2 linked regions of the Arabidopsis thaliana genome follow. The protein of the gene in region 2 interacts with the protein of the main gene of each other region in a pairwise test. Each region holds a gene or a part of one and is shown on either strand. Other genes may lie near its edges.

The links. The genes of interacting proteins can lie anywhere in the genome.
Region 1: the proteins of RAV1 (region 2) and HMGA interact in a two-hybrid assay, tested with the Arabidopsis thaliana proteins (one large-scale study listed by BioGRID).

Annotation. Positions count from the first base shown.
Region 1 is NC_003070.9:5,137,616-5,141,088, forward strand, and holds HMGA (high mobility group A), read right to left. Parts: upstream 1,853-3,473; 5' UTR 1,739-1,852; coding exon 1,655-1,738; intron 1,581-1,654; coding exon 1,050-1,580; 3' UTR 501-1,049; downstream 1-500. Other genes in the region: AT1G14890 (Plant invertase/pectin methylesterase inhibitor superfamily protein), read left to right, coding at 1-89; AT1G14910 (ENTH/ANTH/VHS superfamily protein), read right to left, coding at 2,313-3,050, 3,186-3,301, 3,390-3,468. UniProt on the Arabidopsis thaliana protein: Binds A/T-rich DNA with a highly dynamic distribution into the nucleus.
Region 2 is NC_003070.9:4,540,266-4,544,517, forward strand, and holds RAV1 (uncharacterized protein), read left to right. Parts: upstream 1-1,902; 5' UTR 1,903-2,120; coding exon 2,121-3,155; 3' UTR 3,156-3,705; downstream 3,706-4,252. UniProt on the Arabidopsis thaliana protein: Binds specifically to bipartite recognition sequences composed of two unrelated motifs, 5'-CAACA-3' and 5'-CACCTG-3'. May function as negative regulator of plant growth and development.

The DNA.
Region 1 (3,473 bases), 600 kb from region 2:
CGGCTATTTGCGATAGAGTCGCCGACGTCAAGAGGTTCACGAGTAATGCGCTCGCTCTCGTTAATACCTACGCCAACAATGGAGCCTAACTAACTAAGCTAGGTCTTGAAATTCCTAAAGTTATAAAAACACTTGTATATATATATGTGTTAAGTTGTGTGCTTAGTTTATAATGTGTATTCGAGGCTTTGAAACCGAGTTAGAACTCTGAGTTTGGGTGTTCAAATTATACATTAATCTATGTTTGATTGTATTAATATTAATATATGTCATATGTGTTTATATGGTGTGTGCTATATGAGTAATGAAGATAATTATACATGGTTTTGATGAGTAAATTTGATACATGAACCTGGTTTTTTTTTTTTTTTTTTTTTCTTTGATGAATTTGGATATGATATGGATGAATTTTGGCCATCATGTCTAAGGGGAACTGAAACCCGTGAGATGATTAGAACATCTGACTATGACCCCAAAGTTTGTCTATTAGTGGCCCACTCTAAAATCTTTACGAAAACAAGGTTTTGTCCTTTTTGTTCACGGGGATGCCAAAAAGCTTCCATACTCTGTTCACAGTTTCTATTTCAATCCCTATTGATAATGATTACACACATTCGCTTCACAGATTTTTCTAATTGAATTCCCTTTGAAATTTTCAACTCCCGCGCTGATTCCACAGTGATTCTTTCTTCTGCTAACTGTAGCATAATTAAATTAGTGACAATAATGAATGTTTAGCATTACCAATTACATAGTTTTCCCCTCATTATTAAGTGTGAAAATGAAATCAAAGCAGCAATAATTGTTCAACAAGAGAACAAAGTTTCACATAACACAATGCAGTAATAATAATAATACACAGTCGCTAATGTTATATCTTATCTCAGGACTAAGCAACAACACACACACAAATTCTAAAGTTTACAATCCAAATACTGAAAGAAATCCAAATAAATCTAATTAAGCTAAATTAAAGCACTCTCTTACTCTCTAAGAGATTCCATTTTTCAGTAACTAAAGATTCCGAAATTGCATAAGTACCGATTAATTCAGCACCCAACCGGAGCAACCACCGTCGGCTTCACCTTCGGAGGTCTCCCACGTCCCCTACGCTCACCTGTCGCCTGAGCTGCCGGTTCCGGCGCAGCAACCGTCTCCGAATCTGTTCTCGGTCTCTTCGGTGGTCGTCCTCGTGGCCTTCCAGATCCGGTAATGACCTTCTCCTGGGGAGGCTCCGATGGATCTTTCGGCTTCGGTGGACGGCCACGAGATCTAGGCGGATCTGTAGAGACGACGGTGGCAGCAACAACAGCAGCAGCAGCGGCGTCAGATTCGGCCTGAGTCTTCTGCTTCGGAGGACGGCCACGACCACGCTTAGGAGGAGCATCTGGATCTGGTTTCATATAATTGTTCTTCACCATGATTAGCTGACCGGTTTTCTTCATCTGGTTGAGATGGTAGCTGAGCAGCGTCATGTGTGACGGCGGTAGAGTTTGTTGAGTCGACTCGATGTGCTTAGCAATCGTCGTTTTGTTGCAGCCGTTCTTATCGTTCAAGGACTCAATCGCTTCCATTATCATCTAAACACAAATTTCAACCAAAATTTCAGAAACTAAATTGAGAGAGATTGAGAGATTTTAGGGGTGTACTTCACCTGAGGATAAGGTGGGAGAGAAAACGACGGAAGTTCTGATGAATGCGTATCTGAAGCTGAGCCATGGTGGAGATCGAAGGCCATGTCAAGCGTAGAGAGTGTGTGAGGTGATGAAGGAAGGAATCTGTGTGAGGAGGGATTTTAAAAAGCAATTTGGGAAAGTGGTTTTCTCATTATTCTCATATTAACTTGTAGTGTTGATCTGACGGTTGGGGTTTTCAAACTTACGGGTTGATCCAACGGCTCTGAGTTTATAGCAGCTTTCTCGAGCAGGATTACTGACGTGGACATATGGGAATGACTTCTGCTGACTATTACCCTTAAATTACCTAATTCTCCTCCAATCTTCCTTTTTTATTCAACGAATGGCCATTGGTTCAGCCTAGCTGGATTACTAGAACAGAAAACGACATACTACGTAGCGTTTTTGCTAATCATATTTCAAATTATTTTGTTAATGTAACACAATGAGTTATATATATCTTTCATTTTTTTTCCACCAATGAAAATTCATTTATATAATCAATCCCGAGGAGTCTTTCTCTATTAGCAGAACAAGATTTGCAAGACTAGAAGATGATGTGATTTTATTACTACTCACAAACAATAGAATCATATGAGACAAATAAAGCATTTTGAGAAATATACGAAGATGGGATCACAAGAAGCCCGTGCTGCCGAAGGGGTTGTTGCTGTTATGTTGCTCATGAGCACCTGCGTTTACCGGGAACTCCCCAAAACCCGTGGTGTTTTGCGGTTCTGAAACCGGGACTACTGGAAATTCCCCCAAACCGGTGGTCTTTGACGGTTCTGATACCGGGATTACTGGTAATGCCCCAAACCCAGTGGTGTTTTGTGGTGCTGAAACCGACACTACTGGAAATTCCCCAAAACCGGTGGTGTTTGATGGTTCTGAAGCCGGGGTTACTGGTAATGCCCCAAACCCAGTGATGTTTTGTGGTTCTGAAACCGGCACCACTGGAAATTCCCCAAACGCGGTGGTGTTTGGCGGTTCTGTAACCGGGACTACTGGAATCTCCCCAAAGCCGGTGGTGTTTGACGGCTCTGAAACCGGTACTGGAAATGCCCCAAAACTGGTGGTGCTTTGTGGTTCTGAAACCGGAACTATTGGAAACTCCCCAAAATCACCAAAAGGATTTGCAGGGCTGGGTGCAACCTGTAGCTGTGGCTGCTGCTCTTGTTGATGATAGGTTGGCTCATAGAGACCGAATGGGTTGTTTACGGCTGAAGGCGGTGAAACACTGTCTGAAAATGCAAACAGGTCTTGGACCTCAAACGGATTGGAAGCTGGGACGCCATAGGCAGGCTGTTGGGCTGCTCTCAAGGCTCCATCGTCATATAGACTGTTCAGGGTGAGCGTGTCTAATCCACCCGCCTTGCATTTGTTGCAGAAAAAAATGTTAATGATTCAGAAGCCACAAAATCAATTCCCCAGAGGTGACATACGTTAACAGGACAATGGTACGTAATTGATGCATCCCATTATCACTAATACAAGAATACATCTTACCAGCTGTCTCTCTGTGGCTGCAGATATATCATTGCTAGGTGTTGTGACCAACGCAAGCTCCCATCCTGACGGATCCAAATCTCTTGCTTGCCCAAAACTAAACGGCGAAGAATCAACTGGAAACAGAAACATAACCAGAATTGCGACTAAAGACAAGCAAGAAAGGCAAACTTAGAGCTCCAGTACATAGACCAAGAAGCTCACCATCATTGGAAACTAAGGCCAAAGCTAGTGCATTTTGGTCCAGGATTGCTAACGGATCAGGTGTATCATCATGCAGACCCTGTG
Region 2 (4,252 bases):
AACAAGTGCCACGTGACAACATACTCAATTTCTTCTAAGGAAAATACAACCATCTATTTCTTTTTGTCGCATACCCACCCATATATGATATACTTAGAACCATTTTAAGTTTTTTTAAAACATAAAAATACGATTTTAAATTTGAAAATTTGATTAGAGTGTGATTATCTAATTATTGTGTTGTCTATAAATCTACACAGTCACTACTTTCTACCACACTGATTTTAACAAAATCAATTAAAGTTGATCAGCACTTATTTCTTTCATATGGGCTTAAATGCCAATTTACTTATATATATTTTGATGAAAATGTGTGGTAAAACTTAAGAAACAAAAAAATCCTAACACTAATTAGCGCCTAGGTATTTTGAGCAATGCCTCTTTAACTTAAAAAGAAAAAAACGAAAAAAGACAAAAGTAATTGTCCTGCTGTCAAGAAATGCCCATATTATTATTCATCCACACAAGACACGTACGACCATGCCTCTTAGTGATTTGTCATTGGCCCACTTCCCATCCTAGTGGATCAAATTGATAATAAATACTATAATAAATAATTACAAGAATTCAAATAGAAACCGGCAAATCAATTAATAGATATAAAAAGGAGATATAAATCGTTAACATTTTCTATTGGAGCAGGGAGAGCCAATAAAAGTCGAATCTCACGATATTTCGCAGTTCTCTAATTGGCTCTTTGCATAAAAAATGAAACCTAACTAATGGGTAGAAGAATACTTTTGCAAAGCAACAAATATATCAGATAAGATCGTAAGCTATCCACATCACTTGTTAATTGTCCTCAAACCATATTATATAATGCAAACAATTTATGGCGTTAAATCCTTACGTATTTATTCTCTATAAGAGTAAAACACACACACTGAAGGCAACTGATTTAATTGGATTTCTATTGACCAGTAGAAATACTTGTTATGATGTCGGTCGCTCGTTGGCTAAGTATTTCTTATAAATATATAAGACATATTTAAAATCTTTTTACATTACATACACCCACTTATGAGAAACAAATATAATAAAATGTTGATACCAAATATATATATATATATATAATAAAATGGGATAATTACAAGAACAACAAAAGAGAGATTTTTTATGAATTTGGAATTGGAATCTATCGAGTGCATATATTATACGGACAATAATCCTCATAGCAATACACATTTTTTCTATAAAAAGAAACGTAGGATAAGATTATAGAAAGAAGAATAAAAACCTGGAAATGGAAAATAAAGAAGATATATATCATGAGTTCATGACTAAACAACTATTTATAGCTTTTTCAATAATAATATCATTCAAGAGTGAAGAATAACAATCAGATTTGGAAGAGAAAAAAATTTAAAGAGAGACACCATTTAACATCGGTAGGATCTGAACATGGTTATCAAATCTAATACTTTCTATTTTATTATTTTTCATATAGTTATTATCGTTACTATAGTATTATAGTGAATTAAAATTTTAAGCATCAAAACTCAGGGGGGATGAACTTCACTAAAATGATGTCAATATCTCACGTGGACCCTTTATCCATTCCATGGCCCACACATGGGTCCCACTTCCCCATGCACACAGCCCACAACATATTCATTTCTATATTTGTTCCTATACTCTCTTTTCTCTTTTTCTTACATAAATAAAATACTAACTTATTATAAGGATTATTATTGCTTCGTGTGTTTTCTTCTATAAGTTACATCAACAGTTCATGAAATAGACCCTAATATAGTAACCTAAATTAAATGCCGTATATTTCATTATGTTTCCACGAAGCTTCCTTTGTGTTCTTTGAGTTGACCCATACACACCCATCTTACTTCCCATGCACCTGCACATATACTATAATTACTCCCCTCAAACACGCATTCTTACAAATATATTTTTTGTTATTACCAAATAAAAAGTGAAACATAAAATAATAATATCAGAAGTGACACTTGCTGTTTCTTATTTCCCTCCCCCCAAGCTCTTTCTCCTTCTTTCTATATATATTATACACACACACGTATACATATACACAACATAATTCACAACACAACACAAACACATTTCTGTTTTCTCCATTGTTTCAAACCATAAAAAAAAACACAGATTAAATGGAATCGAGTAGCGTTGATGAGAGTACTACAAGTACAGGTTCCATCTGTGAAACCCCGGCGATAACTCCGGCGAAAAAGTCGTCGGTAGGTAACTTATACAGGATGGGAAGCGGATCAAGCGTTGTGTTAGATTCAGAGAACGGCGTAGAAGCTGAATCTAGGAAGCTTCCGTCGTCAAAATACAAAGGTGTGGTGCCACAACCAAACGGAAGATGGGGAGCTCAGATTTACGAGAAACACCAGCGCGTGTGGCTCGGGACATTCAACGAAGAAGACGAAGCCGCTCGTGCCTACGACGTCGCGGTTCACAGGTTCCGTCGCCGTGACGCCGTCACAAATTTCAAAGACGTGAAGATGGACGAAGACGAGGTCGATTTCTTGAATTCTCATTCGAAATCTGAGATCGTTGATATGTTGAGGAAACATACTTATAACGAAGAGTTAGAGCAGAGTAAACGGCGTCGTAATGGTAACGGAAACATGACTAGGACGTTGTTAACGTCGGGGTTGAGTAATGATGGTGTTTCTACGACGGGGTTTAGATCGGCGGAGGCACTGTTTGAGAAAGCGGTAACGCCAAGCGACGTTGGGAAGCTAAACCGTTTGGTTATACCGAAACATCACGCAGAGAAACATTTTCCGTTACCGTCAAGTAACGTTTCCGTGAAAGGAGTGTTGTTGAACTTTGAGGACGTTAACGGGAAAGTGTGGAGGTTCCGTTACTCGTATTGGAACAGTAGTCAGAGTTATGTTTTGACTAAAGGTTGGAGCAGGTTCGTTAAGGAGAAGAATCTACGTGCTGGTGACGTGGTTAGTTTCAGTAGATCTAACGGTCAGGATCAACAGTTGTACATTGGGTGGAAGTCGAGATCCGGGTCAGATTTAGATGCGGGTCGGGTTTTGAGATTGTTCGGAGTTAACATTTCACCGGAGAGTTCAAGAAACGACGTCGTAGGAAACAAAAGAGTGAACGATACTGAGATGTTATCGTTGGTGTGTAGCAAGAAGCAACGCATCTTTCACGCCTCGTAACAACTCTTCTTCTTTTTTTTTTCTTTTGTTGTTTTAATAATTTTTAAAAACTCCATTTTCGTTTTCTTTATTTGCATCGGTTTCTTTCTTCTTGTTTACCAAAGGTTCATGAGTTGTTTTTGTTGTATTGATGAACTGTAAATTTTATTTATAGGATAAATTTTAAAAAGGGTTACTTAGATATGTCTCAAGAGTTTTATTAGCATGAGATGATGAAAATGTTGTTACCAAATCTTACCTTGGTTTCTTTTCATTTTATGTGTATGGGAACTCGTATTTATATGTATGCATTAGCTACTGCTTATGGTATTTGCTGCTTTTTGTATATAGATTTGAGGAGTTATGACTTATGCGTACGTAATTTTATAAAATAACTCCAACCAAAAGAGAAAAAGTTTGCAGGGTCTGTAAACGTATATAATCGTATGATGATATGATAGACCATACTCCGATACAAATAACCAAAGAGAAAGATATTTTAAAATGAATGCTATTTAAGCTTTTGCAAGATATTATTTTAAGCTTCAGAAATTATTGTGTTGGTAGAGAGATTCATGTTGCTGTTAAATAATATATATGTATTTATAATTCTATCTACTACTTTTTCGGCTTAACTCAATCTAGATATTTGTTTCTAAAAGTGTTTTAGTTTTCTTTCTTTCGCTGGCTGCGACTATGAGTATCTTCAGATTCTCTACAAACTTAGGTATATATAGCTATTTATTTCGAAGGAATTTGATGGTTAAAACGAATAACATTAAAACTCTGTTAATCTCTTACGAAATGGTATATAGTATATGCGTTAGAGTTTGAACATATGATGATAATAGTACACCTGCCGCATACATTACTATGTACCTACATAAAGGAATATATTGACCATTGATCTAATGAATGTTCCGTTCATATGCACTTTCTTTCGATACAATTCGGTGGACTATAACATTATTCCATTATAGCATAAAATCCTATTATACAATTAAAAATGCCCACGCAATTTTACGTATACTTTTGTCTATAACACACATCCACACATAATTCAAGTTGTGTTCAAATAGTAACACAGCAGTAGCTTTAGTGAAAATTATTAGACTTGT